2 linked regions of the Callithrix jacchus genome follow. The protein of the gene in region 1 purifies or fractionates together with the protein of each later gene. This does not show direct contact. Links are inferred from orthologs where the notes say so. Each region holds a gene or a part of one and is shown in the gene's direction. Other genes may lie near its edges.

Region 1 (3,961 bases):
CTTCTGCTGCGACTGGCATCCCGAGGATAGGTGTGCCATGGGGGTGCAGGGGCAGCAGGCTGACAGGAGGCTCTCACTACCTCAGACCTGTGAGACAGTTGGGAGTAGCAGAGCTGGGGGGGGGTCCCCTTTCCACAGGAAAGGCCACTGAGGATTTGGGTGGGGCCTTCCCACAGGGGCTGGTTGGCCACAGGAGGGCGCGACAAGATGGTGAAGGTCTGGGACATGACCACGCACCGTGCCAAGGAGATGCACTGTGTGCAGACCATCGCGTCAGTGGCCCGTGTTAAGTGGCGGCCAGAGTGCCGCCACCACCTGGCCACATGCTCCATGATGGTCGACCACAACATCTACGTTTGGGACGTGCGCCGGCCCTTCGTGCCAGCTGCCATGTTTGAGGAGCACCGAGACGTCACCACGGGCATCGCCTGGCGCCACCCGCACGACCCCTCCTTCCTGCTGTCCGGCTCCAAGGACAGCTCACTGTGCCAGCACCTGTTCCGTGACGCCAGCCAGCCCGTGGAGCGCGCCAACCCTGAGGGCCTCTGCTACGGCCTCTTTGGGGACCTGGCCTTTGCCGCCAAGGAGAGCCTCGTGGCTGCTGAGTCGGGGCGCAAGCCCTACACTGGTGACCGGCGCCACCCCATCTTCTTTAAGCGCAAGCTGGACCCTGCCGAGCCCTTCGCAGGCCTTGCCTCCAGTGCCCTCAGCGTTTTTGAGACGGAGCCGGGTGGTGGCGCCATGCGCTGGTTTGTGGACACAGCTGAGCGTTACGCACTGGCCGGCCGGCCGCTGGCCGAGCTGTGTGACCACAACGCAAAGGTGGCTCGGGAGCTCGGCCGTGACCAGGTAGGGGGGTTCCCCTGCCAGCTGTCCTGCCCCCGACTTCAAGCTCCGCGATGGGCTCTGCCCAGTCGTACCAACAGCCCTTGCCCCAGTAGCTGAGGGTCAGGCTCCAGGGTGGCCAGACCCGGCACTGTTCTCTGCAGGGCGGAGTCTTGGGAGTCGTGTGGTCAAGCTCTCTGTTCCGCCCCCTTTGCTTCTAAGCTCTCCAGGCACTGGCAGCAGTGGACGTGTGAGCCGCTGCCCCGCCGTTCCCCACTGCCCAATTCCATTCCCTCTGTACTGCTGTAGGATGGAGATTGGGATTTTTCTCTTCCCATGAGCCTCGGCTTCCCTACCGGGGTGGGCCTAGACATTGGGTCTGTGGGGCAGCTGAATGCTGAGAGCTTGTGATTCTGTCCAGGCAGAGGGGGACCTGCATGGGGTGCTGGGTGACCTGGACCCCCACAAGTGACCAGTGCCTGCCCCCAGGTGGCACAGACATGGACCATGCTGCGGACCATCTACTGCAGCCCGGGCCTGCTGCCTACCGCAAACCTCAGCCACAGCATGGGCAAGGGTGGCTCCTGTGGCCTGCAGCTCATGAACAGGTAGATGCCAGGGGTAGCTCTCCCCAGGGGCTTGGGCCGCTCAAGCCCACCTACCCATGGGCCTTTCCTGCCTTCAGTTTCAACCTGAAAGATATGGCCCCAGGTTTGGGCAGTGAGACCCGGCTGGACCGCAGCAAAGGAGACGCACGGAGCGACACGGTTCTGCTTGACTCCTCGGCCACACTCATCACCAATGAGGGTAGGCTGTGGTGGGTGGGGGTGCTGGTGGGAGTGGGGCGGGGGCATCCCACAGGAGCCTGAATGCCAGCCCAACTGTTGGGGCAGATAATGAGGAAACCGAGGGCAGCGACGTACCTGCTGACTACCTCCTGGGTGACGTGGAGGGCGAGGATGACGAGCTGTACCTGCTGGACCCAGAACACACTCACCGTAAGTGGGGTCGAGGCGGGGTCGGGTAGAGAAGTAGGTGGAGGACGGAGGTTCAGAGCCTTTGCTCACCTGGGCCTCCCAGCCGAGGAGCCCGAGTGCGTGCTGCCGCAGGAGGCCTTTCCACTGCGCCACGAGATTGTGGACACACCTCCCGGGCCCGAGCACCTGCAGGACAAGGCCGACTCCCCGCATGTGAGCGGCAGCGAGGCGGATGTGGCCTCCCTGGCTCCCGTGGACTCCTCCTTCTCGCTCCTGTCTGTCTCACACGCGCTGTACGACAGCCGCCTACCGCCCGACTTCTTCAGCATGCTGGTGCGGGACATGCTGCACTTCTATGCTGAGCAGGGCGACGTGCAGATGGCTGTGTCTGTGCTCATCGTCCTGGGTGAACGGGTGCGCAAGGACATCGACGAGCAGACCCAGGTGTGTGGTGGGCGGGGCCTCCTCCCTCCGAAGGCTTTGCCCTGCGCCCCGATTCCGACCGCCACGCGCTCCTTTCCCAGGAGCACTGGTACACCTCCTACATCGACCTGCTGCAGCGCTTCCGCCTGTGGAACGTGTCCAACGAGGTGGTCAAGCTGAGCACGAGCCGAGCCGTCAGCTGCCTCAACCAGGCCTCCACCACCCTGCATGTCAACTGCAGCCACTGCAAACGGCCCATGAGCAGCCGGGGCTGGGTCTGCGACAGGTGGGCAGTGGGGTCGGGAGGTGGGGAAGGGGCCTGCAGGCAGTGCAGGAGCCCCCGCTGAGGCGTCCGCCCTCCCGCCCGCCCCCAGGTGCCACCGCTGCGCCAGCATGTGCGCCGTCTGCCACCACGTTGTCAAGGGCCTGTTCGTGTGGTGCCAGGGCTGCAGCCACGGCGGCCACCTGCAGCACATCATGAAGTGGCTGGAAGGCAGCTCCCACTGCCCCGCGGGCTGCGGCCACCTCTGCGAGTACTCCTGAGCGTTTGCTAGGCTCTGGGGACCTGACCGCCCGGCCGGCCACGTGCAAAACCCCGCCTGGTCTTGGGCCCCAGACGGGCAGAGGCTGGAACTTGAAACCCCAATAAAGGAAGTGGAATCGCTGTCCGCGCGGGGGCTTGCAGTGTGCTCGCCGTGCAGCTGCTGGGCGGGGGCTCTCTCCGGGGCTGTCGCCATGGTAACCAGCGATGCCAATAGGCCTCTTCCGGGGCGGGGCAAAGGAGATCACTTCCGGAACCATCCGGGCACCCGGCGGTTGCCATGACGACGAGGTTGCGGCCAATGGCTGGCGGACGGGCCTGAGGTTCCCGGCGTGCAGCGCGGCTGCCTGAGGGCGGCGGGCTCATGGCGCCGGGGTCGTGGTTGCTCGCGCTCTGGGCGCTGGCGGCTCTGGTTCTACCCAGCTCGGGGGAGGAGGGCGACGGCGGGTGGTGAGCGGCCCGGGAGGGGCCGGGCGGGGGGTCTCGTGCGGCGGGTAGGGCGCGGGCTGACCGGGCTGTGCCCGCAGGCGCCGGGGCGGGCCGGGGGCCGCGGCCGAGGAGCAGCGCTGCACGGTGGAGCGCCGCGCCGACCTTACCTACGCCGAGTTCGTGCAGCAGTACGTGCGCCCCTGACCGCGGAGATCGCGCCCTGGTCACCCGCCCGCCTAAGGCGCCTTCCCCGAGCTCCCGCGAGTGTGGGGCGGGGGCGGCGAGGGTGGCGGTCGAGCCTGGGCGCGACTCTGCCCTTCCTTCCAGGTACGCGTTCGTCAGGCCCGTTATCCTGCAGGGACTCACGGACAACTCGGTGAGCGCGCGCCCGTCCCCGGACACCCTCGCGCGTGCTGGGCCCGGCCTCTAAGCCCCGCCCCCGCCCGCCCCCCCGCAGAGGTTCCGGGCCCTGTGCTCCCGCGACAGGTTGCTGGCGTCGTTCGGAGACAGAGTGGTTCGGCTGAGCACCGCCAACACCTACTCCTACCGGAAGGGTGAGCCGCCCCACCCCGGGCCCGCCTGCTTGCCAACGCCGCGACGGCTGCAGCAGCCGGTCTTGACCCGTCCCTTCCCTGCAGTGGACTTGCCCTTCCAGGAGTATGTGGAGCAGCTGCTGCACCCCCAGGACCCCACCTCCCTGGGCAATGGTGAGTCAGCCATGTATGGCGGTGTTGGGGCGGCGACACGCTTGGAGCCTCCCAGTGCC
Region 2 (4,610 bases), about 570 kb from region 1:
CCTTGCCAGTCTCCTTGTCAGAATTTAGGAATCCCCTGGCCCCCGCTGTGCAGGAGGTGAGTCACAGAAGCTCAGTGAGTCCAGAGTGGTAGATGCGTAGTGGATCGGGCACTACCTGCCTGGCTGTTGGTTCTGATCTGAGAGCTCTCAGCACTGGCACTAAGTGCTATGTGCCCAGCATGGCCCAAAAGGCAGCTGCCGGGCCGTCTGCAGACACTTGGCCAGTGACCCAACACGTGGGCGGTCATCCCCTCCCCATAGAGCCCACCCTTGCTGTGGCAGGCAGTTTTTAGGGTTAGAACTGAGTTAAGCTTGGCAGGAGAGTGCTTACCTCTTTGGGCCTACAGACCTGCGTTGTACCCCTTTGGGTCTGGGACTTCCTACAGACAAGGGTGCAAAGGTAGCTGTGTTTTCACTGGGCCAGGGCCTGACCCTCTGAGAGAGTTTAGCTTCTTCCTTCACTTTCGGCCATGGTTCAGGTGGCCACAGGTTCTGTGGGTATGAGTTCTGGGGCCACTAGTCCCCAGAATCTCCTCATCCAAGAGAGCCTAGAGAGGACCCTTGTGGGTCTGGGTCCGGGCAACAGGCAGGCAGGTTGGAAGCTAGGAGTGCAGGGGATAGGAAGCCTCGTGCAGGTCTGTGGGATGAACTGGTGCATCTGCATCTGCATCTGTAGCAGAGTCAGTGGCTTCCCATGTGGGCTGCAGGTGTCACAGCTGAGGTGGCTTTGACAGGAGCCAACGAGGCTCTGCCACCCTTCCCTCCACTGAGTTCTGGGCAGAGACCCAAGGCAGGGCCAGATAGGACAGGTGTCAGAGACAGACGAGCTGGGTGTTCTCAAGTCTTTGTTTTCAACAGCATTCGACTGAATAAGTGCCACATTTATTAGGTGAAACCAGTCTGTAAAGCCAAACCCTTTCTGTTCTCAACCTGTGAATAAGATTCTGGTTTTCCAGCTGCTTTAGACACCAGCCCTAAGAGAGTTCTTGGTGCGGTTTTCGTGGGGCCCTTGGTTTCTGGGAGCTGAGCTAGGTTGTACCTGCTGAATAAAAAGCACTCCCTGCACCCCTCCTCCTGGGGCAGAGCTGAGGGAGGACCTGCTGGTGCACCCATCCCAGAAGCCTCCCTTAGGGTGGCTTTTCCAGGCCATGACTGAGTGGTTGCTCCAGGCCTTGTCAAGGGGCCCAGGTTCTGCCTGGGCTCCAGTGCTGGGAAGCCCCTCTGTTTCATTTTTTAATTTTTATTTATTTATTTAATTTTTTTTTTTTTTGAGATGGAGTTTCATTCATTACCCAGGCTGGAGTGCAATGGCGCAATCTCGGCTCACCACAACCTCCGCCTCCTGGGTTCAAGCAATTCTCCTGCCTCAGCCTCCCGAGTAGCTGGGACTACAGGCGCGCACCACCATGCCCAGCTAATTTTTGTATTTTTAGTAGAGACTAAAAATACACCTTGTTGACCAGGATGGTCTTGATCTCTTGACCTCGTGATCCACCCACCTCGGCCTCCCAAAGTGCTGGGATTATAGGCGTGAGCCACTGTGCCTGGCCCTTCATTTTTAAAAAATGTATTTATTTTTTATTTCATTTTTGATTGCACTCCAGGGTAGAGTGCAATGGCACAATATTTGCTCACTGCAACCTCTGCCTCCCCAGTTCAAGTGATCTCTTGTCTCAGCCTCCCAAGTAGCTGGGATTACAGGTGTCCACCACCACGCCTGGCTAATTTTTTATATAAACGGCGTTTCACTGTGTTGCTGGTCTTGAACTCCTGACCTCAGGTGATCCACCTGCCTCATCCTCTCAAAGTGCTGGGATTACAGGCATGAGCTACTGTGCTCAGCTTTATTATTATTTTGATATAGAAACTTGCTCTCTTCTCTAGGCTGAATTGCAGTGGCATGATCTTGGCTTACTGCAACCTCTGCCTCCCGGGTTCAAATGATTCTCCTGCCTCAGCCTCCTGAGTAGTTGAGATTACAGGCGCCTGCCACCATGCATGGTTAATTTTTGTATTTTTAGTAGAGATGGGACTTCACCATGTTGGCAGGCCTGGTCTCGAACTCCTGACCTTAGATAATCTACCTGCCTCAGCCTCCCAAAGTGCTGGGATTATAGGCATGAGCTGCCGTGCCGGCCCCCTCTTTTATTTATTAAATTCATGTAAAATCTGGGTATCTTGCAGTCCTTTTGACCAGGTCTTCCTAGTTGCCTGGGGTACATCCCCCATTCCCATCCCCAGTTCCCCAGCCCACTCCCAGGAGGTGACTCTGGCCAGCAGCTCCTTGTGGACCCTCCCGGAGATTGGTAGACAGATGTGTATCTGATGACACTGATGCTGTCTCACACTGCTCGCTGCTCAGCATTTGTGTCTGGGCAGTACCCTCTCAAGGGGACTGGACTCGACCCCACACAAGGCTCCTCACTGTCAGCCCTACCTGCTAACGCAGAGACACTGGAGGGCCTGGCCGGGACATGCCTTCTCACGGTGGGGGCAGGGGGGCGGGGGGACTCCACCCCCAAGCACAGAGTCACTGGCCTCAGCTTCTTGTGGCTCCACTTGTGCTCAGGGTGGTCCTATCCAAGGAGAGGACTTTTTGCTCTTAGGCCACCTGCTCACTGCCTCTTTCTAAACAGTGTCTGGGGTTGTCTGGAGGTAGACTGGTTGGCTGGGTCCAACTGCAGGGCCAGTGGGCTGAAGGAGAGAGAAGAAGGCAGAAGGGCAGCTGCAGCAGCAGTGTGGGGGGTTTGCTCAGAGAAGGGGTCACAGGGACCTCCATATCTCAGGTCCCATATCTCGGCCAGACACTGGGCAGCCCAGGTGTGATCCAGATGTTCCCCCAGACCCTCTCCCTTCCTGGGAGGGTGAGCTGGCCTTGCAGAGCTGGCTGGCAGCTGGGGGCTCCCTTTCTGACGAGAGGGCCTTTCTGCCTGGGAGTCAGCACAGGGAGTATGCTGTGGCCATGTCTAGGGCTGTGGCTCTCTGATCCCCCAGGAAGGGGTTGGATTGGGGATGGGGACCAGCCTCACCTGCTGCCACCCACAGACCCAGCTCATACAGATGGTGGTGTGGATGCTGCAGCGCCGGCTCCTCATCCAGCTGCACACCTATGTCTGCTTGATGGCTTCACCCAGCGAGGAGGAGCCCCGCCTGCGAGAAGACGATGTCCCCTTCACTGCCCGGGTTGGCGGTCGAAGCCTCAGCACGCCCAACGCCCTCAGCTTTGGCTCCCCAAGTAAGGGTCCCCAGAGCATCAATCTGGAAGTCAGGGGAGACGCTTGGGAGGGGTGCCCAGGAGGCTCCACATGGGCACTGCTATGGGTGATGAAGGGCCTCCACACGGCAGCACACGCACATGCATGCCCCTCGTGTCCTCTGGGAGACGCCTCTCCTGTCTCCTAGCATCACCATGACTCTGAGGTGGCAGCTCTGCCTCTGGGCTCTTCAGCAGTTTTGCTAGAGTCAGGAGCAGCTCCCAGCCCACCAAATCAATGCTGGAATCTGTGCCCCAGCCAGGGATCCATGCGGGATCCACACCACGACTGGGACAGCTGACACCTTTGGGCCACCAGAAGAGCAGTCATGGCCAGTGTGGCTTGAGAGCAGCAGCCTGTTCGTAGGTCCCAGGTCCTCAGGCTTGGGGAAGGAAGTGGGTGGAAGACTCTGAAAGTCCTCCCCTGGCTGAGGTCTGGCTGTAGGTTTCATGCTTCATGTGAGGACACTGCCTGCCTGGTGTGCTTTGTCCTCCATCCTCGATGAGGGACAAATGGCCAGGCCCACCTCGGGGTATGTGTGAGGTATACATTACACCTCTGTTTTGTTTGCTTGAAGTTGCCCCCAGAGGGGAGACTGCCCATTTCCCAGGTCAGCCATGAGGGGCATGTGTCACACCCAGGAGGTGGGGCAGCAGCATGTGCTTACAGGCAGATGTTGCAGCTGGGGCACCAGGCAGGGGCCTTGTGGGAGTCACGGGTGTCACTGGAGGCTGGCTGCTGGGTCTGCCCTTGCTGTTCCCCTGGTGTCCTGGAATTCCACTTGGTGCTGCTGTCACCTGACCCCTGCCCCCCACAGCCAGCAGCGATGACATGACCCTCACCAGCCCCAGCATGGACAACTCCAGCGCAGAGCTGCTTCCCAGTGGGGACTCGCCACTGAACCAGAGGATGACAGAGAACCTGCTGGCCAGCCTGTCGGAGCATGAGCGTGCAGCCATCCTCAGTGTACCTGCAGCCCAGAACCCTGAGGACCTGCGCATGTTTGCCAGGTAGGTGCAGGTTGACCCGTTGGGACTGGGGCCACTTGGAGGGTCGGGGCAGGAAGTGGATAGGGATGTACCCAACAGGACCACCAAATCCACTGACAACACATGGGGCCCTGTTTCAGGTGGAGTCTACACTCAGGTGTGTAGGGGTAGGTGCCCCTGCCCAGGCATGGGGATGCAGCTTGTCACAAAGACCCCAGGCCGTGGGCCTGTTGTGCCTGTTTTTGGGAGTCTTATCTCCCCAGTACTTCTTAGATGTTTCTTGTCGCTTAAGAAGCAGCACCAAGTTCTCATTCTCATGGGACTTGGCAGGGGTTTGCCCAGGACTGCAAGCCCTGTGGGCATCCAG

Evidence for each region. The genes of interacting proteins can lie anywhere in the genome.
Region 2: the proteins of WDR24 (region 1) and NPRL3 purify together in Homo sapiens (affinity purification with western blotting; 6 studies listed by BioGRID and IntAct, with this or other methods). This does not show direct contact. The link is inferred for Callithrix jacchus from reciprocal best matches to the Homo sapiens genes WDR24 and NPRL3.

What each region holds. Positions count from the first base shown.
Region 1 is NC_133513.1:2,944,636-2,948,596, reverse strand, and holds the end of WDR24 (GATOR2 complex protein WDR24), read left to right. Parts: coding exon 1-30; intron 31-176; coding exon 177-849; intron 850-1,314; coding exon 1,315-1,433; intron 1,434-1,510; coding exon 1,511-1,632; intron 1,633-1,718; coding exon 1,719-1,823; intron 1,824-1,905; coding exon 1,906-2,246; intron 2,247-2,326; coding exon 2,327-2,511; intron 2,512-2,599; coding exon 2,600-2,768; 3' UTR 2,769-2,889; downstream 2,890-3,961. Other genes in the region: JMJD8 (jmjC domain-containing protein 8), read left to right, coding at 3,131-3,216, 3,294-3,383, 3,523-3,571, 3,653-3,902. UniProt on the Homo sapiens protein: Catalytic component of the GATOR2 complex, a multiprotein complex that acts as an activator of the amino acid-sensing branch of the mTORC1 signaling pathway. The GATOR2 complex indirectly activates mTORC1 through the inhibition of the GATOR1 subcomplex.
Region 2 is NC_133513.1:2,370,096-2,374,705, reverse strand, and holds part of NPRL3 (GATOR1 complex protein NPRL3), read left to right. Parts: coding exon 1-56; intron 57-3,045; coding exon 3,046-3,235; intron 3,236-4,071; coding exon 4,072-4,264; intron 4,265-4,610. UniProt on the Homo sapiens protein: As a component of the GATOR1 complex functions as an inhibitor of the amino acid-sensing branch of the mTORC1 pathway.